Mus musculus: one gene and its partners. The protein of the gene in region 4 binds, or shares a complex with, the protein of the main gene of each other region. Links are inferred from orthologs where the notes say so. Each region holds a gene or a part of one and is shown on either strand. Other genes may lie near its edges. The genes, in order: Arrb1, Cltb, Gtse1 and Cltc.

What was found.
Region 1: the proteins of Cltc (region 4) and Arrb1 are in contact, whole or in part, in a crystal structure (PDB 3GC3), measured with the Bos taurus proteins. The link is inferred for Mus musculus from reciprocal best matches to the Homo sapiens genes CLTC and ARRB1. Residues at the interface, in NP_776448.1 of Bos taurus: His12, Leu13, Gln14, Gln16, Asn17, Leu18, Gly19, Val50, Asn56, Asp57, Pro58, Ser59, Asn60, Ile62, Arg63, Arg64, Pro65, Ile66, Ser67, Ala68, Lys78, Ile80, Leu82, Lys83, Ala84, Thr87, Gln89, Phe91, Asn92, Ile93; in NP_776668.1 of Bos taurus: His30, Ile31, Asp32, Leu33, Val34, Glu35, Pro36, Pro96, Thr98, Arg99, Tyr173, Pro175, Lys355, Thr374, Asn375, Leu376, Ile377, Glu378, Leu379, Asp380.
Region 2: the proteins of Cltc (region 4) and Cltb are in contact, whole or in part, in a cryo-EM structure (PDB 6SCT), measured with the Sus scrofa proteins. The link is inferred for Mus musculus from reciprocal best matches to the Homo sapiens genes CLTC and CLTB. Residues at the interface, in NP_001139599.1 of Sus scrofa: Gln1291, Arg1293, Gly1294, Phe1296, Lys1326, Phe1327, Gln1354, Ala1355, His1356, Pro1382, Thr1383, Glu1413, Phe1414, Lys1415, Pro1416, Leu1417, Gln1444, Pro1446, Leu1447, Thr1473, Glu1474, Glu1475, Glu1503, Leu1504, Ile1505, Arg1508, Leu1533, Lys1535, Met1538, Lys1562; in XP_005661527.2 of Sus scrofa: Pro100, Ser102, Trp106, Gln110, Leu114, Ser121, Thr124, Glu125, Trp128, Arg129, Ala132, Asp135, Leu136, Trp139, Val147, Asn150, Lys151, Asn154, Arg155, Asp158, Tyr162, Glu191, Trp192, Lys194, Val195, Leu198, Cys199, Asp200, Phe201, Cys209.
Region 3: the proteins of Cltc (region 4) and Gtse1 are in contact, whole or in part, in a crystal structure (PDB 6QNP), measured with the Homo sapiens proteins. The link is inferred for Mus musculus from reciprocal best matches to the Homo sapiens genes CLTC and GTSE1. Residues at the interface, in NP_004850.1 of Homo sapiens: Val50, Arg64, Pro65, Ile66, Ser67, Ala68, Leu82, Lys83, Ala84, Thr87, Gln89, Phe91, Asn92, Ile93, Lys96, Ser97, Lys98, Asp143, Arg144, His145, Trp164, Gln182, Leu183, Tyr184, Ser185, Arg188, Lys189, Val190, Ser191, Gln192; in NP_057510.5 of Homo sapiens: Ser686, Arg687, Pro688, Leu689, Ile690, Asp691, Leu692, Met693, Ser707, Pro708, Val709, Val710, Gly711, Gln712, Leu713, Ile714, Asp715, Leu716, Ser718.

Annotation. Positions count from the first base shown.
Region 1 is NC_000073.6:99,597,625-99,602,039, reverse strand, and holds part of Arrb1 (beta-arrestin-1), read right to left. Parts: intron 3,550-4,415; coding exon 3,479-3,549; intron 2,240-3,478; coding exon 2,188-2,239; intron 2,037-2,187; exon of another isoform or gene 1,685-2,036; intron 943-1,684; coding exon 831-942; 3' UTR 1-830. UniProt on the Homo sapiens protein: Functions in regulating agonist-mediated G-protein coupled receptor (GPCR) signaling by mediating both receptor desensitization and resensitization processes.
Region 2 is NC_000079.6:54,608,360-54,613,310, forward strand, and holds the start of Cltb (clathrin light chain B), read right to left. Parts: upstream 3,015-4,951; 5' UTR 2,906-3,014; coding exon 2,719-2,905; intron 1-2,718. UniProt on the Homo sapiens protein: Clathrin is the major protein of the polyhedral coat of coated pits and vesicles.
Region 3 is NC_000081.6:85,857,938-85,863,141, reverse strand, and holds the start of Gtse1 (G2 and S phase-expressed protein 1), read right to left. Parts: upstream 3,436-5,204; 5' UTR 3,348-3,435; intron 3,197-3,347; exon of another isoform or gene 3,139-3,196; 5' UTR 3,072-3,138; coding exon 3,047-3,071; intron 1,242-3,046; coding exon 1,184-1,241; intron 1,075-1,183; coding exon 447-1,074; intron 1-446. UniProt on the Homo sapiens protein: May be involved in p53-induced cell cycle arrest in G2/M phase by interfering with microtubule rearrangements that are required to enter mitosis. Overexpression delays G2/M phase progression.
Region 4 is NC_000077.6:86,754,410-86,759,295, reverse strand, and holds the start of Cltc (clathrin heavy chain 1), read left to right. Parts: upstream 1-1,728; 5' UTR 1,729-2,006; coding exon 2,007-2,048; intron 2,049-4,886. UniProt on the Homo sapiens protein: Clathrin is the major protein of the polyhedral coat of coated pits and vesicles. Two different adapter protein complexes link the clathrin lattice either to the plasma membrane or to the trans-Golgi network.

The DNA of each region.
Region 1 (4,415 bases), on a different chromosome or scaffold from region 4:
GTTTCCCTAAGGACTATCCACTACAAAAGAGGATGGATGCCTCCCTACCCGGCCCTATCACTTAAACTCCCCTCAGACAACATCCTCAGTAGCTTTGGCTCACTGCTAGGGGCTGGTGTTTGTTAAACACCCACTTCCCCTCTCTGTGCCAGCACACAAAAATGCAATGAAGCTATGATATCTCAGTCTATCAGTTCTGACATATGTGGCCTGCTTCAATCTAGGTGTCATCTGGTTAGAAAGTCAGTCCACTGCTCTTCATTCCTGGGGTCTATGTGCCTCCCCCATGAGACATAGGGGCATGGACCAAGGATGAGGATGGAGGGGGAGGAGTCTCTAGTGGCCCTGGACCACACACACACACAAAAAAGCATTGAGAATCTATTCACAGTCCTGCCCTCTCCCACCTTCAATCTGGTCATCATTTAGCTGCCAAAACTGTCACCTACTGGGACTACAGACATCTTCTTGTGTGTCTTGAGCCATCTTGCCCACCCCCTCCACATCTTCACACCCATCATCATTGTGCCTTCAGGCCCCACCCTCCCCTTTCTGCTCCCCATCTCAAGCCAAATCCCAAGGCCAGGCAGTGTGGCCTTCCTGGGAATGAGCATGAGAAGGAGGTGGGCAGGTGATTGCAGAGAGATGGCTGAGGACGTGGTCCTGCTGGCGTGGTGATGCGAGAGGCCCATCACCGAGACTTGGAAGACCACTGGGGCCCCTTGGTAGAAACTGGAAGAACAAAAGGAAGAACCAGAATGGGAAGGAGACGAGAAAGCATCCGAGTGCGAGAGTGAACCTGGAGCTGCCGGGCTGAGGCCGGCCCTAGTCTATCTGTTGTTGAGGTGCGGAGAGCCGGTGCCGTCATCCTCTTCGTCCTTGTCATCCTTCATGCCTTTCAGCCGCTGGCGAGCAAAGTCCTCAAATACAATGTCGTCATCACTAGTGGGAGAGACAAGGAAAATGCCGTGTGTTTGCAGAGGTAGACGACAGGCAGATCCAGAGGCCTGGCCAAACGATGGGAGGACTCAAGAGAGAACCCCTGATCTCCAGGGTCTCTGGGATGACCTCAGGCAGAAAGGCGTGCCTGGCTGGCCCATTTACAAGCCCACTGATGGCTGTGGGGGTTCTCACAAATAAACTGCAAAAAGCTTGCCTCTCAGTGCATAAGGGCTAGAAAAGCAACCCTGTTCCTGGGGAGATGGAGAAGGTAAGTAGGGGGAGCAATGTGGCTCTGCGTCGGAATCCCCAAAGAACAAGCCCAAGAAACCCTATTTCACCCCTCCAAATCAAACTACCAAGACTGCTTTAGGGAGGGTAACTGTTTCAACCAGGAAGTTGGTGTTGGGTTCTAAGGAAGGAGAACAGGTCTTTCTCCTAGAAGATCTAACCCACATCCCCGGAGTCCTAGGTTGGAGAGGGACTTTGGAACGGGGCTTGGAAGATGGTGAGGATATGAGGACAGAGTGATGGGGAAAGGTGCCTGGTTTAAGGTTGCAGGACTAAGGACTGTTTCTTTCTTTCCACCATGACCCTTTGGCCCAGGCAGAGGCAGAAGTCCCTGGCCCCCATTGAATTCAGTCAGCTGAATGGGTTTCCTCAGGGCAACATCAAACCTCTGTTTCTCAGATCTCACCAAAGAATCAAGGAAAGGAGGTTTGGGAAGCTGGAAGGAGAAAGCCACCTGGCCCCAGAGGCGATTCAAGCCATTGAACCAGGTCCTCTTCCTCTGGCCATTGTTTGGTGCCCCATGGCCTTCCACCGCAGGGGAGTCCGAATCGGTTGGTCCTCAGGCCGCAAGAGTGACAGCACCCAGACACCTTCTCCACCCCACAGGCAGCCTCCAACTGGCTTGGTCGGGTAAGAGAGGGGAGCCCCAGAGTCTGAACCAGCCCCGTGTCAGCCAGCTGGGTGGGTGCTGCAGACGGACGGACTGACTGACTGACGGACGTACAAGGAAGACAGACCCCACCAATGCAGGAGGAAGAGGAACAGGCATGGAGGGTCCTTCAAGTCACATGCAGGCAAGCAGGTTGCTGAAGAGGTGAGCAGAGGTGGCTCTCAGCAGACAGGTTAGACCAGCTGCTCCTCAGAGGTTGATTAACATTTATGCAAATGACCCCTCCACCTCTCCCGTCCCACCTCCAGCCCCTCCCCAGACAGCACAGGCAGGAAGGTTCAGCTTACTTGGTGTCAAGCTCTATGAGATTGGTGTCTACTGGAGTCTCGCTCTCTGGAACTGAAAATATACAAGGCTTGTGAGGTACCCAGGGGTAAGTGGGGTGTGGGATGAGAGGTGAGGGATGGGACAGGGACCACACGCACATACACACACACACACACACACACACACACACACACACACACACTCCTCAGACTCTCTAGATAAGATGGGGAGGGCAAGGAAGGAAGGTGAGTGAGAAGCCTCCCAGGTCAAAAACCAGCAGATGTGGGAGGGAGGCATCCATGCCCAATGAACACCCTGCAGGAAGCAGGTCTCCAACGTGAGACACATTCACTTTTTGCTTCCCTGAGTTCCATTTACCCTAAGATCATTTTGCAGCCCTGGCTGGCCTCAAACGTGATCCTCCTACCTCACACACTTCCCTCTGCTGAGATTATGGGCATGTGTTATCACACTGCCCTGTTTTTGTTTTTGTTTTTTTTTTCACACTGTAACCTCTCTGAATTCAGAGTGCCATCTGCGGCATCTCACCGACTACTCATAGGCAGACTCCATTTGTGAGAGGGACTGTAACATCCCTTGCAATGGAATGTAGTCAATCTGTTACCTCCTTAAAAACTCAACTAATGCCGGGTGTGGTGGTGCACACCTTTAATCCCAGCACTTGGGAGGCAGAGGCAGGCGGATTTCTGAGTTCAAGGCCAGCCTGGTCTACAAAGTGAGTTCCAGGACAGTCAGGGCTATACAGAGAAACCCTGTCTCAACAACAACAACAACAAAAACCAAACCAAAAAAAACCCTCAACTAATATGGGGACTGAGCATGGTTCCGCAGTTAAGAGTACTGGGTCTTCTGGTTGTGGGTTCAGTTCCCAGTACCCACAGGATGTCTAACAACCATCTGTAACTCCAGTCGCAGTGGATCTGACGCCCTCTTCTGGCCTCTGAAGGTACTGCATGTATATAGTACACAGGCATACATGCAGGCAAAATACCCATACACATAAAATAAAAATAAATATTTTTAAATCATAATAATTTTTAAAATTAAAATCCACCAGTGTGGCTTGTCCTCCACTCCGAACCTCCCTGTCCCATGGAGAATAGCAGTCAGGGCTCTCTGCCCCCCTAGTTGGGTCAAAAGCAAATAATAGTTGTGTTGTAGGCCCTGCAGAAGACTGGGAGCTGGGGAAAGGATGACTCTGGGCTGGAGGTTAACCCAGAAAGAAGCAGAGCAGTGGGGTAACAGGGAGGCTGGTAAACCCCACCCCAGTGGCCCACAGGTCCTACTCACCTTCCCGATGTGGGGGCTCCTCCTTAGGCTTGGGGTGCATTAGGGTAAAAGGCAGCTCCACGGCCACATCACTGAAACACACACCCCGTCCAGCGAGCTCGGTGAGTGCCTCAGAGAGAAAGACCTGCTGCCCTGTCCGTCTGAGGCCTGGGGAGACCATGGGCTGGGCACCATGCCCGCTGGGGACTCACACCATGGTCAGTGGGTAACCAAAGTGGCCTGGGGCTCTGCCCATCTCAAATCATCATGGCCTCTTGACACCACCCTTTCCAATTTTCTCCCAGTCCTGCCCACCCGCCTCTCTGCCACCCACAGGTTTCAGGAGCTGTCCACACCATAGGCAGACGCTGACACCTCCTGTGTGTGCCTGTGAAAGAGCTGGTCACCAGTCATTGTTGGTGACCAGGCCTTCCCTGACACTGTCCCTGGTACACAGGTTGAGGACAAGAACGGGCATTTGCATGATACAGAGTGTACCAAGCCCCTCCTTAGAACAACTCCTGCGATCCTCTTCACTACAGCCCTATTATTAAGATGCCCTAGGTTTAGGCACTCAGAGATTAGCCTCTTGCCTCAGGCTGCACAGCTATTGGCAGTAAGTGCAGAAAGACTCTGGCTCAATCACCCATCCCCTTAGCCACTGGATGATAAACAGAATTAAAAGACTGATTAAACGTAGCCCTGAAGGCTCCTCACTGCTAAGGGTGGCATATCTTAGCAGAGCCTCCCTAAAATTATGAGTGTCTCCAGAAAACACAACCACATCTTACTGGTCATGTTGCCAGCTGTGAAGTGGGAAGGGCCTGGGTGTGATGGACTGGTACAAGCCAGATACAGTCAGCCTTCCATGAAGCCATACTGGATGTGGCTGGAAGGACCTGGGACTCAGCCTTGCTAGGCTGTGACTAGTAAGGACACTACTGTCTCCCTGCTGGGA
Region 2 (4,951 bases), on a different chromosome or scaffold from region 4:
AATCCTGATTCACTATGACAGCTCTCATCCCACCCACTCTGGGAGGGTTTCTACAGTACAGGTGGCCTGCTCTCTAAATAAGGGTGGTCCCAAAAGGCTATGAGCATCATCCTCCTTTCAGTCTTTGGGACTGCATACACACCCACTCTTAGAAATACCAGCCTGTATCCCACAGGGCTCTTGCACATTTATGATTCCGAGTCTACAACAGAGCCCGCAGAACAAATACAGCAAAGCAAATAACATGTTCCAAGGATAAGCTTTTTGGTGTGTGGTCACCTCAGGAATAATGGCAAAAGATCCAGAACATTCCTGTGAGCTTACTGAGACCAGCAGGGGCAAGAGGATTACACAGTGCTTGGTCACAGGCAGGCCAAGAGCCCAGCTAACGGGTGTGAAAGTGTAGAGCATTTGGGCACTGCCCAAGGCTGATGAATGGAAACAAAGTATCCGCAGCTCAGGCCGGCTGCAGATCCGCCCAGAGGGAAGGCTCAGTGGGGTTCCGGTTCAGGCCTACGCCAGACACAGCTTTCCCCAGGCCCCCCTGAGAGCCAGCAGCAGTGAAGCGGCATTGAACTTGGCTCGAGAGCTGCTATCAGAAGACCTCATTGTCTCTGGGAGGTGACTCAGAGGTGTGCATTGGTGGCTGCTGTTAGAACTAGCTTCTTTCCAACTCCCAGAATTGCCCAGACAGTTCACCTCAGACCACCCAGGCTCCTATCATTCCCTGCAAACGCAGAGGAGGATGGGTACCTCCCACTGTCTAGGCTTAGGAGAATCAGGTCTGTTCTATTTATGCCTGAACACCCGCTGAGCTCCCCTCCTGAAGCACCTCCTTGTTCCCCAAACTGCCACTCAGAAGGGCAGCTGGGCACCTGCAGCTTGATGGAGTCCGGGAGACCCTCAGAGGGTCAAGTCCCTGGCTGCTTCCCTAAGGGTTATCACCACTGTCTCCCTCCCGGTTATCTCATATCTAGGGCTAGTCAGTGCCCTACCCACCCAGACTGTAAGTCCCTAGGAAAGACTACAACTTGCAAAATCCCAGGCTCCTGTGGCTATCCTCAGCTGGAACTGCATCTGTCTTTCTCCTGAGTTGCTAACAACTTGGGACCTCCTAATGAGGGAAAGGACTGTTCCCAAGGGGTGACCATGGACAAGTGAGTTCCATACAGGAACTTAGGAGGTTCCCAGGGACAATGAAGGGCTGAGGGACTGAGAGCTGCTATTTCAGAGCTGCATGGCTGGCTTGGATAGGCCCCTGCTTCTCCCTGCTGTATCCAATCATCTCCTAAGGAGACCAGCACAGCTGCCCTTTGGAAGATCATAACTAGGAGGCCTGAAATCAAGCCCCAGACCTATCACTCACGGCTGTGTGGCCCTAGGCAAGACATTCAAACTCCAGTTTTTTCTTTTTAATTATTATTATTTATATTTTCTTTACTTGTGTGTGTTTGTGTGTGTGTGTGTGTGTGTGTGGTGCAGGCATGTATGCGAGGTCGGGGGGACAATTTGTGGGAGTGAGTTCTATCTACCGCCATGAGGGTTCCAGGGCGTGAGCTCAGGTGTCACCAGGCTGGGCTGATTTACATTTACTTGACAAGCCATCCTGATAGCCCCTCAAACTCCAGTTCCGTGTATGTTACAAAAGGCTTATTACACTTATGTCAGAGTTTCTTCAAACGCTGGGCCATAGATACAGTTTCTTCCTTCTGTGTTCCCAGTGGGGACGGCAACACAGCAAGTGTGGAAGGAAAGAAAGATGAATGTATACATACAATATTTATTTCCAACAGGACCATTAAACCTCTTTAACATGACACCAAAAAATAACAAGGTCTACTAGGAGGGTCACCATGAAGGTCCATATTTGTACTAAATATTTAAATATATTTATAAGAAATTGTTCCTTGGGGCAGAAGTATCAATGATAAACATAACAATGCAGGAAAAAGGTCCTGAACCCTTATGTCTGAAGCCACACGCAGAGGTCCGGGCCACCTTTGTAAATCCACTAAACAAACAGTTACAAACAGGAAGGGCACAGCTCTTGGCCATTTGTGCCCCTGCCTAGACTTACAGTCGGGCCCATGAAGGACTGTGAGGTCTGGACAGGAAGAATTCAGCATCCGAAAGAAGGGGTTGAATTCTTTATTGCTACTTCCTAGTTGTTTTAATAGTGTACCCTTTGAAGCCAGTTCTAAAATGGGTTCAGTAACGTGTATGAAATTATTATATGTAATTAACATTGTCTCCCGCACTGCTGCAGGACTGCAGGTGATCCCCAAAGGATGAGCTGCGAGTTCTCTGAGCGCCCCCTGCTTCCCTGCAGAAAGGAACGCTAACGCTAACGTCAGGAGGACGTGTCCGTCCCACACCTGTATCACTTAGCTAGGACACTGGGACAGTCTCAGAACTGAGCAGGGGGAGGGTTCCAGAGCCAGGGTGGAGAAGCTGGCCTGGGGATGAAATGTCATGACTAAATTCCTGTCCCCAGAGTCAGCAGATCCAGTCTCAGCGCAGATTCCAACTCATCTCCCGGCTCCTTCCTCTTTTCCCAGGCCTCACGGATACACACAGCCCCCCGAGGTACCCTTGGTCACCCTGGATAGCCGGACTCAGAGTACAGCAGGGACCCAGGCCGGGTCTGACCGAGACTGGGCCTCCCGCCCCCGGTGGTGGCCTCAGCCTCCCCGGTTCCAGGCCGCTGCGCTGACTCACCCCCGCTCGCGAGTCCCGGCTGCGCAGAGGCCACCTGGCTGGCGGCAGGTGCCCCGAAACCCGGGTCATTCTCGATGCCAGCAATCTCGCTTTCCTGCTGGGCCAGGAAGGCGGCCGCTGGGTCCTCCTCGGCGGCCTCCGGGGCCCCGCTCTCCGACGATGAGAAGAAGCCGAAGTCCTCAGCCATCTTCCCCGCGTGGCTGCTGTCACCTCCCGCCCGCGCCCGCGGCCCGCACTTCCCGTCACCCGCCCGGCTTGCCTGTCACTGCGGCTGCAGCGGCGGCGGGAGGAGTCGCGGCGGGAATGCGGTGACGTCAGCGGCCGAGGGCGGGGCCCGCGGGGCTGGGTGGTCGCCCCGCCCTCGGTTCGAGCCCCCGAAGCCCACCTTCGGCTCCAGAGCGTGCCAGCAGCACTGGGCTGGCACCGGGTGCATTGAACCGAAAAGTTTCTCCCAGAGCTGATTTTGTGAGCTGCGTGATACAAGAGTACTCTTCCTGCGTAGGAGGAGGGAGCTGAGGCTGGGAAAGGCTTGAGTGCCAGGCGCGCACAGCAGAGCCTTGTTCTCTCAGGACTGAGTAAAGCATCCCGCCGCCCTATCTGTGTGATGAGCCCCTGAAATCAGGGACTGTTCCTCTTTCTCCCTGTCTGGTGACATTGATGTTCCTTAAGGCAACTAACTGGCTGATTGTTTTGTCTTTCAATTTGAGCTCTTTCTCTAGTTCTTAGAGCAGAGGGTCAGTTTGTCCCATTATTGGTTAGGTTCCCGTTGATTACTCAGTACAGTACAGGTGGAGCCTGCTTTTTTCTTTGGTAATTAATATACGTATTGTGACAGCAGATTGTATGCCAAACTCGCATTGCACATTGCAATTACTTTCGCGGTTTTTGTTGTTGTTGTTTTGTTTTTTAGTAGCCTGTTTGACCTCAAATTCTTGTATAGCTGAGGCTGGCTTCAAAGTAGTGATTTTTTTTTTTTTTTTTTTTTTTTTTTGTATTTCGAGACTGTTTTTCTGTATAGCCCTGGCTGTCCTGGAACTCACTCTGAAGACGAGGCTGGCCTCGAACTCTGAAATCTAACAGCCTCTGCCTCCCAAGTGCTGGGATTAAAGGCATGCGCCACCACTACCCGGAGACCTTTTTCAAAAATACAGTATCTTTTTTGGTTGTGTTTTTGTTTTTCAAGACAGGGTTTCTCCATGTATCCCTGGCTGATCCTGGAGCTCACTCTGTAGATAAGGCCGGCCTCAAATTCATAAAGATCCACATGTCTCTGCCTCTAGGATGCTGGGATTAAAGGCGAGCACCACCACTGCCAGGTGAGTACCTCTCTTTTAGTCTTTGTCAATTTATATATATATATATATGTATATATGTGTGTGTGTGTGTGTGTGTGTGTGTGTGTGTATATGTGTATATATATATATATATATATATACATATACATATATATATATTATGTATACAGTGTTCTGCCTGCATATATGCCTGTAGGACAGAAGAAGGCACCAAGATCACATCACAGATGGTTGTGAGCCACCATGTGGTTGCTGGGAATTGAACTCAGAACCTCTGGAAGAGCAGTCAGTGCTCTTAACCACTGAGCCATCTCTACAGCCCTCTTTGTCATTTTATACAAACAAGTAATGCATTTTGAGCATATGCTCCCCCCTCACATATCTCACGCCTCCCAGGTATCCCCTCCCTAACAGTTCCCCTCCCCCACTTGAAATTTTTTTATTTATTTATATATTTATGTGAGGACACTGTAGCTGTGCAAATGGCTGTGAGCCTTCATGTGGTTTTTCAGAATTGAATTGGTTTAGGACCTCTGCTCCCTCTCCAGTCAACTCTGTTCACTCAGTTTTTTGGTTTTCCGAGACAGGGTTTCTCTGTGTAGCTCTGACTGTCCTGGAACTCACTCTGTAGACCAGGCTGGCCTCGAAATCAGAAATCTGCCTGCCTCTGCCTCCCAAGTCCTGGGATTAAAGGCATGGGCCACCACTGCCCTGCCCAGCAGATTTATTTATTTATTTTGGTTTTTCGAGACAGGGTTTCTCTGTGTAGCCTTGGCTGTCCTGGCACTCACTTTGTAGACCAGGCTGGCCTCGAACTCAGAAATCCGCCTGCCTCTGCCTCCCGAGTGCTGGGATCAAAGGCATGCGCCACCAAGCCCGGCTGATTTATTTATTATTATACATAGGTACAATGTAGCTGTCTTCAGATGCACCAGAAG
Region 3 (5,204 bases), on a different chromosome or scaffold from region 4:
GGGGCTGCTTGGCCCTACACTCTAGCGAGCCTTTACTCTGTGTTTCCTCTCGGGAGACCTCCGTCCCCCTCCTCTGCAAACCTGGAAGTAAGTTATCTCTGACATCTGCCTTTCTACCTACCCCCAACTAGGCCTCCAGGGCCCTGAGTTTCCCACAACTGGTCAACTGCCATTTCCCTGACATTCATGTAATACCCGGGCAGAAGAAGTATAAAGTCCCAGCCATAGAGAACAGCCAGAGCCCAATGTGAGGGGCAGTGCTCCCCAGAGGGGCCCGGCCGGGCAGCTCCCCATCACTGCTGCCTTCGCTGTCCAGATTCTGGTTCTATTCTGGGCTTTCCAGTGCTCAGAGCGCTGCCCCTCCCGAGAGGCTTCCCTGGCAGGGCATGGGCTGAAGAGAGGCAAGGAGGCTGTGTACATCGCAACTGTACTATGCCTGGGTTTACCTTCTCTGTAGCCAGGTGAAGGTTTCTTCCTCTCACAGGCAAAGCCCGAGGTGGCTGGAGCTTGCTGGTGATCCTCTTTTGAGGCCCAGCCTGACTTGGAGGCTGGGAGGTACTTGATTCTCTTGGCAACGGCTGAGAGGAACAGGGCAGACCCTGGTTGCTCTGGGTCTGAGCAGGGCCTGCTGAGACAGGGGAGCTGAGCAGGCCTGGAGAAGCCAGGAGCTGGGGCTCCCCCATGGGCGGTTGCACCCTCGAGGATGGCAGGCAGAATGTCTCTCTTTTAAGTGACATGGGACTTCTGTCTCTCTTCTGTTCTTTCTCAAAGAGGCTTACTTTTAACTGTGAGTCCTGCACAAACGTTTCCTTGCCCTGGTTCACAGGATTTTGGGGCGTGGCAGCCTGGGCCACCTCTCTTCGGCTGTGACTTTCTATCTGTAAGGCCAGTAAGTGGGCTTCTTTGTACACCTCCACAAACTTCTCCCCAGTGAGAGGGCTCAAGGTGCAAGGGCTACCAGAGCCCGGGGCAAGAGGCTGCCCAGGAACCCGGCGGTTTAAGTCCAAACTGGCAGCAATGCATCTTTCTTTATGTCCAACAGGCCCAAAAAAGACTTCATCATCTTCATTTGTGCTGCGTTTAAAGAAAAAGATTATCAGGGCTGAAATCACACCAGCATCTAGGCGAGGGGCTTTGATGAACCTGTCTATACCAGGGGTTAGGGAAGAAAACGCATGTTTACCTTGAAGAAGACAAGGAAAGATCGAAGTCAAATTTTTCATCTTCCAAAAGAAGAAAGTCTGGGGTGGGGATGGGGAGAAAAAGTTCAGTTATTTTAGGGTAACATAAAACAGGAAAGCACTGGTTTCACAGTTGCTATGAATCTCTCAGTAAAGTAATAGATTGTTGCCTGAATTCAATCAATTGTCATGGGCACCTCAAGTCCTTCTTATTTCCCATTTCCACTCTCAAGTTCCAGGAGCCACTCTGAGTGCACTGATCCACCATCAAAACACAGAACCTTACCTCTATGATAGAATCTAGGGTTTCCAAGAAGGCTAAGTCACCTTCAGGCACAGGCTATTTTCTAAAGATCAACTACTTTAGCTAGCCTGGAATTCAATTATGAGACATCTATCAGCGATGAGTTCAAAGATGGTTCAAACTCACAGTAGAGACCAACGAGTATCTGTGGAGCACCACTGCTCCTCGGGTCCCTTTCCAAAAAAACAAAACAAAAAAGAAAACAAAACAAAAAACAAAAACAAAAAAAACCCCAAAACCTAAACCAAAACCACCAACAAAAATTTTGCTCTGCCTATCCACATTCCTAGCATAGCCTTGGTTGAACCAACTGTGGATTTATTCAGCTCTCTCTCACAGACCAGCCACTTCCCAGTAGTACTTAAAGGTCTGCTTCACCGGAGGGAACCTACATAATTCAGGACAAAATCCTAAGGTGGAGGAAGGTCATAGGCTTCATTAAGGATGCACGTTACAGCCTGGTTAAGTTGCATTCTAAACCTTTATGTTTATGCTCATAAATTACTGGACTGGGCTGCCAGCCTAGGTCATTAGAGGTGCTTCTTATAATGGGCATCACTGTGTTAAGCAGTCTCCTAAGGTGTCAAAGAGGATACATAACCTGATAGGGTGCAAAGGCCCAGTGCTCAGCCCTAAAAGGGAGAAAATAATTGTAAACCCACATCAACCCTCTAAGACTCAGGGGAGCAAAGTTACTTCCCACCACATCTGATGACCTGAGTTCAAGCCCTGGGACCCTCAGGTGCTTGCACACCTTGGTTACCACCCCCAAACACACACATACACATACACACACACACACACACACACACACACACAAACCAAGTCATCGTAAAGATTCCTCCTCCCCTCTTTTAGACAGGGTTTCACTGTGTAGGTTTACAAAGAGAACTAACTGTTCTGGAACTCACTCTGTCGACCAGGCTAGGCTAGCCTTGAAATAAAACTCAAGAGATCTGCCTGCCTCTGCAGTTGGGGCATTAAAGGCGTGTGCAGCCACCACGTAGCAAGTCTTGCTTTTCAAAGAATTTGCCAGCACTCAGAAGGCTTCCGAAGGTGGCTCTCGATGAATTCAAGGCCAGCCTGGACTACAGAGTGAGTTCCGGGTTACAAAGTGAGGGCTCAAAAAAACAAGCAAGAAAGGAAAAGCAAACAAAGTAAGTCAGTGGAGGAGAAAAGAATGAACCACAGGGGAATGGGTGGAGTGAGGGACTCTGCGCTCAGTGCAAGAGAAAGCTGTTGCCATTTTGATAGCACAGCAACTGTGATTAACCACAGGAGACCCTCACAAGATTAAGACCCCCACTTAAAGCCCTTCTGGAAGTGGGGGGAGGCCCCTCTTAAGATTACATAAGTGGTTTTAAAAAGTGGGTGGGGATGTTGTAGGGGCTTCTTTGGTGGTGGAGCTATGAATTGCTAATGTCCTTGTAAGTAACTTCAGTTAAATTTATTTGCTTATCAATCCAGACTTCGTTTCTTTGATCTGTTGTAGCCCTCTCTATTTTGTTTGGGGTGAAAAGGAATACACTCCAGAACAGCCTTACGAACAGAAAGGACTTACCTTCTTTTTTACTACCAGCATCCATCTTCACCTCTCTCTCCACTGGTTGGCCGAAGGCACGTCGCGGCCGTCTCCTCCTTCCACAGAGTTCGCTGCAGGAAGCAAGGGGACGGGAGAATTAGGCAAGTCAGAGGCAAGCCCCAACTTGCTCCCGGTTTCCCAGACTGTGCGCCCCGAGGCGGGGTAACGGATTTCCGGCTCTGAGCTGCAGAGCTGGCACCGCAGCCCGTCCTCCCCGGATCTCTGCGGCTCGGGACCCGGTTCCCCACTCTCCGGGACCAGCGCTACGACCACTCCTTACCCCTCGCCTCTGACCGGGAAGGCATAAAATCCAGCTGGGTCTCCGGCACCGGTTTAAACGCGGCGCCCGGCTCCGCCGGCCGCCGATTGGCCTGTTTAAACAGGAGACGCTCTCGGTGCAGCCTGGGAAATGTAGTCAGAGTGCTGATGTACAAGACCAATGCCCAAGACTCCAAGCCACGGATTGGCTCCGCTGGGCGCAGGAAACTCCCACCGGAAGTTCCCATGACTCTCCTCCTCCGGAGACACAGAAAGGATTTAAGCGTTCCGCCTGTGGCTGTGCTAGCAAAAGGGACCGAGGCGGTGATGGTGGGGCATAGGAGATGGTCAGGCAGCTAGGAAGGAATTTGTCCCGACTCTCTCCGGTGCTTGTCCTGGTATCTCCAGTATTTCTCATGCGTCCGGGTACTCTCTGCAGCCTAAGGCCTCTCTCCTGTACTCTGGTGTGCAGGCCCTCCCTTTTCCCTCAAATGCAGAAGAGTGACAGAGCCGGTCTTAGCACTTCTTTGCTGCCAATATGTTAGATGCCTTTGGATAGCAATGAGCAGGAAACTGGCTTCAAGGTCTGTTGGTTCAAGGAAGTCCAGGGTTGGCCTGGATAGCCATCAAGAAGGCCATCAAGTCTGGATGTCGTCTCTACACATCGGCCAGGTCTGGCTCACTAGTAGGCAAGCTGGCTTCGTCGGACCCAAGGTTCCCACCGGCTGGGGATGGTGACCGGTTCTGTGTATCTGGAATTTTAAGGGCCAGGCTTTTCTGATTCACACCGGGGGCGGGAGGGGGGGGCGCAAGACCACGGTGGCAGTCACATCTGTGGTCCAAGCCTTTAGCTCCTGTGCATGAAATCCCTGCATCCCTGGGGCTATCCACTGGGCAGTAAAGTTCACCAACACTTCTCTTTGTATCATATCAGGTCATAGTAGATGTTCAGGAAAGCATACCCATAGTAACTCACTGCTATTTACATTTTCTCTTGGCTTTAAAAATATTTTTATTTTATTTTTTTTGCCGACGTGTGCGTATGTACAGGTATGCAAGTGCCTACAGAGGCCAGAAGAGAGTGTCAGGTCCCTTGAGGCTAGATTTACAGGCTCTACGTGGGCGCTAGGTACTGATCTCTGGTCATCTGGAAGAACGGCAAGTGCTCAGCCATGGAGCCATCTCTCCAGACGCATACACATTTCCCTTTAAGATCAGTCGCCTGTCCCTGGCAGATGCATGCCTTCTTTCATGAAAGCCTACACATACCAGCTTTTACAGACAAGGCATTCAATGGAAGCCATTGAATACCAGAGATCACAGCACAAAGTGGTTCAATAGCAAGGGCAAGTGCCAAGGGCTATGGGGCAAAGAGAAGGCACTGTCACCAGCCCACAGGCAGGGTGGAAGGCTTTCTGAAAGAGACAGAGAGCAAGACTCCGCTTCTGGCTGAATCATGTATTATTTGGAATCATATACATAATGAGGACTAATGAGGAGGTTCCCCCTTGGCACCTGTCCCCAGGCTCCCTGATATGGAGACAGTACCTCTTCAAATCCTATGGCGATTACACAATTTCTTGACTTGCTGCCTCATCCAGCTAAGATTAGAGAAGCCCATCTCCCTAGGACGCAACCCAAACCTGGCACTTGGGAGCTGCTCAGAGGTTCCCATAGGAGAGGGTAGTCAACGGGACCAATTGTTTTAATGAATGCCCAAAACCTGTCCAGTCCTCAGCAGACTGCAGGGACTCTGAGCAGGCTAAGCAAAGATCTGGTTTGGAGACCTCCAACCCACTCCCCACTCCCACCTGCCCATCAGTCCCTACTTAAGTAGGAACTGCATCAACTTCCAGGAGGGATGTCCCTGTCACAGAAG
Region 4 (4,886 bases):
AGCAGTCTCAGCGCACTTTTTGGTTAGGTATTCCACACCAAGGAAGTAAAATCAACTGCTCTGGGGATTTGAAATGTCCTTTCATGCAGGGTCTGTATGAAAATACAAGGCCCTTGTCAATAAATTGAAATGTGGTGATCTGTTCATGGTGAAGCTCTTACATCCCAAATTCTGAGATTGAAAGTGCAATTCTATTAAGCTACTGACATTTCTGTAATAAAACAGTAACTCCCTTAGGATTTTAATTTAAAATTTGCCCACCTCTAGAAAAGGACAAAGTCTTATGAAAACAATCTTTTCAAACATTGCAGGACAGGGCACATTCAAGTGCTTAAGTGAAATTATGTAAACACAAAACATCCTAAATATGGTGGCAAGGCTCTTCTTCAAGGGTCTGTTGTCTGCCTTCTCACTTGCCTGGTTCTCCTCTCAGCCCAGATATGAAAGGCAGTATTTGGGGGGAATACTAAACGCAACTGAAATGACTAAGCAGATTTCTCTAAGCAAAACCGCTTACGCAAAATTATTGTACACCCAGTGGTTGTCTTATGTTCTTTAGGTTGAAAGGGGCATTGAAAGTAATTTCCTCAAGAACTTTCAGGGGGATTAAGACGAACTATGTGGAAATGAACTCTCTAAATCTTCCTTATATTGGTGCTATTGTGAGACATTACACCTTACACTTTAGCAAGAGCTCTGGGGCGGCTATTAATCGCTAATGAATGCTGCAGATAGCTTACTGCTGTAGGAAGGCAAGGTGCTCCGGTTTTGAAGGGCTTATTACATCGCCCACCCTGTAACTACAGGTAATGGTCCTACTACCATGTATGACTAACAGTCAATCCCTCAGCTCCAAGACAGCCCCTGAGGTTTCTTTCCCTAGCCATCCTTTGATCTACATCTTTTAAGCTTTTTCCTGTGGCCGAACCCTCCAGTTCTCGAAGGCCAAACTGATCTCTACACTAGGCTGATCTAAGTCCACCAAAATGTCCGCGGAAGCGCTCTCCAGGGGCCAGCAGGAGATTCTTCTCCCATGGCCTTCCCTGTCCTTTGAGATGGTTTATCTGAGGATCTCGAGGAGCCATCCGGCTCTCCTGGCGTCAGAAGGGCGTGCGTCAGGGCAAGGAAGCTTGCAGCTCAGTACGGTCCCCCTCCCTGAGGTGTCAGCAACCACCCACTGCGCGAAACCAGGCGGGGGAGGCGCGCCGCAGCCAGCCGCCCGAGGAGCTCTGCGGCGGGGCCGTTTCCCTTAGTCACCGCGGCACCCACGCCGCGGCCTTCTCCTCAGGCACTCGGTGTCCTCACGCCCAGGCCGCCACGCCGGCAGGGGGCTCAACCGCCACCTCCTCCCCAGGAGCAGCGGCCAGTATCTTGCCTCTCGCCCTCCACTCTGGCAGCCTTCAACCGACCCTTCCCTACCCGCATCACGTGCACCGGGAAGTGCGTGGGTGGGTCTTACAGCGCCTACGGAAATGACGTAGTTCGCCCCGAGTCGCATGATGTGGCAAAATGTTAAAAAAAAAAAAAAGTGGGAGGGGGGAGGGGAGAAGGGAGAAACCGGAGCCTGGGGAAAGTGATGAGTCTAGAAAAAGTAGTCCCTCGGTTCCTCTGTTTCCCCGCAGCCGCATCAGCGAAGAGCGCTCCGCGCACTGCGTCCCTGAATCCCTACGCCCGACCGCGGCGCGGCGTCTGTGGAAGGCTACATAAGGCGGACGGCGTGAGGAGACTGGGCGGAGTTCTGCCTCGGGATCCTTCCGCAGGGCTCAGCCGTTTCCGGAGTCTGCGCTGCTCCCGGTTCCGCCATTGCGGCTCTCCCGGCCCCTGGAGCCTCCGCCCCCGACCCAAGCTCTCTCGTCTGCCTGCCAGTTCCCTGCGTCCCCGGAGAGTATCCCTCTGAGCCCAGCCTCCCCTCCCCTTCCCCGTCTCCTCCTCTCCCTTGGAGAGCCCGGGCAGGCACTGCCCTGCAGCCCCAGTGACAGGAGGAGACCATACTCCCCGACAGCGCCATGGCCCAGATTCTGCCCATTCGCTTTCAGGAGCATCTCCAGGTACGTGTGAGTCGGGGCTGCTGAGGGACTTTTCGAGGGTCGTGGGAAGGAAGAAGCTAGCGGCCTGGCCCGAAAGGGATCGAGAGAAGGGGAGTGGGGGGTGTCGGTATTTGGCATAGGTGGAGGAAGGACAGTGTCTTAAAAGCTTAAAGGGTTAAATGATATGAGACTAGGATGGAAATGACGAATCGGAGTGCAAAGGGCGGCGAGGCCAGGCCTTACGTCTGACGACCTCTTATTCTGCTTCCTGGATTGCAAGAACTGCGCATACCAGACCCCCCTTCCCATTTTACTCAGTTCATTCATTTGGGTAGGGGCTAGGTGGGGGAGCTTCTCGCGCGTTTCTCCCAGAGCAAGATTTCTCGTTAACCCTGAGCGACGCGGGGCTGTCACCTTCCCTTGGTCTATTCCCATTTCTACATCGAGTCTGCACCCAGGAATTGTGTGGCGGGTGGGTTGGGGAGGAGCTGCATCCTCCCTCTGCAGCTCACCACTGAGAAAGGCACCTTGGGGTTAGGGTAGCAGTGGCTCGTGGCTTGCCTTCCCTGAATCTATAAGGAACCGAAGGTCACACTCACTGAAGGAACAGAAAGAAGATAGAGGGGCGGCAAGGGGCGGTGTCAGTCTCGGTGCCTGGGGTCAAGGTCCCAAGGGGAACGCGCATATTTTTCCTTTCTTGGTTTCTTCAGAGGGTTAGTGTAGCTCTTAGGCTCACTTTGATTCTTGCAGGTAGGGAGAGTTATTTAGAGGTTATTTATGGCCTTTTGGAATTTAGCAGGTAGTTGTGGGATTACGGCAGGAGTATGTCTCACAGGACTGCGTGGAATTCATCAGAGCCGGGTTTAAGTGCATACCTGCTCTGTGTCAGTACCTAACAAGTTGATCTGTAACTGGCTCCTTTTTAATAGTCTGGGGCGTCCCCCCTCCGCCCCCCACTGCACCTTATCCTGGAGTCAATACACCATTGTCTAACCTGGCAACCTGCCAGCAGTTGGCCTAGGCAGGTGACTGTTGGAGGGCTTCGCTGAATTACGCTTCTTCTGAACTGCTGATTTTCCTGGTTCACTTGTCCCGACTCTTTGACATCATAATTTATTCATATTAATTTACTTTCCCTCAAGTATCCCCATAAAGAAATCTGCTTTCAGCTGCATCTTCTGAAGGGCTAATTTCATGAGGGGGAGGTGCAGTGATCCAGTTCAAATATTGGTAACTTATTGAGTGCTTTATCATTGAAGGCAATCTGATTTACTTTTCTTCATTGATATACATAAAAGATGTTTGATAATAAAGAGGGTTAACTAAAATTTAGCACCAAGTAAAATAATTAAATATTTCTTTATAGACTTTACCGTGTTGCTAACATTAACGAATTATTTTACTTTAGGACTTCTTTGCCCATTAAATGACTTGAATACATTTTCTTCAGTCATCACTAGTTTTCAAATAATTCATCTGATTTTGGCAATAAGATCTCTATTTTGTAAAGGTCTGAAAAATGTCAAGTGACAATGCTGACAGAGAAGTTAATTTTTGTTCTCAATTCAAGCTTGAGTTTCCTCTGTTAAGAATATAAAGTGTTAGGAAAGCACTGTTCTGGATGTTAGTGGACAGTGGGCTCTTCAGGCTGAGTTAAGAGGGAGGCAGCCTGTGTACACTAACAACAGAAAAAAATCTAGCTTTAATTAATTGCTTGCTTTAATTAATTTGACCATGATTTGGGTTGCTGTTTTTTCTTCTCCCATCTTTGGGATTAACACTTGGCCACACTGAAGTTACCAGAAATAGCTTTCTGCAAATATGTGTATAAACCTTACACAAAAGAAGCAAAGACAACTGCTGATGACATGACCGTTGCTGGTGATTTGAGTAATAGTTTTTCATTTCTATTAAACTCAAGACCAGAATTGTTGAATGGTCTTACAGACTGGAATCCAAACTTGTCACTAATTAAAAACAGATTTAATGCAGGTGTGGCATGTGAGTAGCAATTTCTGCAAATATTTGAAACTGTTTTCCAAAATTTAAAGATTTTGAATATTTATAAAATAGCTTTACAGATACACTTGAAGATCTCGGATGCTTATTTTCTGGAGGACCTCATTACACTTTAGGCTTTGGCTGGTAGGATCCCACTCTAGTAGATAGAGTCAGGTGTGCCGAAAGGATAATGTATCTTCTGATCTCAGACTTTTATTCCCTCTCTTTTAACAAACAAACATACAGTGTAAGGATTATTCCAGTTGTCATCTTAAGTCTTTGATTGCCCAGCCTCTGCCATTCTGCTTAGAAAACAACTTTCTAAAGCATTTAGGAGAACTGGGAAGTAAGGAGTGTAGAGTTCACTTGTGAAAGTTAACAGCAAACTCTAAATTAATTTATTTTAAACTTTTTATGAGAATGTTGCAAATAAAAAATTGCTATTTATTTTCATATCCCTTTGTGCATTTGTTTAGATGAAGATCTGTCATCAAGGCTTGGAACTATATCACATAATTTTGATATTTTATGTGATGAAGGAATTTTTGTTGAGTTGCAGATTCTGAACAAATTCTAGGCTGCAGAACTCAGAAAGTTCAGTGCCAGCCAGCAAAACCCTGTCTCAAAGGACAAAACAACAAAACCCCACTGCCTGCAATTTTCAGTTCCTGGCATATTAAGCATTTTGCAATTGACACATTTTGTTGAGCATTTGGATACTTTTAATTTTCATTTACAAATCTTTCCACCCCGTTCTTCTCTCTTTGATCCATAAACACAGACATGCAATGTGTTGCTGAGTTGAATAGTAGGATTCTTAAGAAGGTTTTGGTTTCAAAGAGAAAGCAGTAATAGATG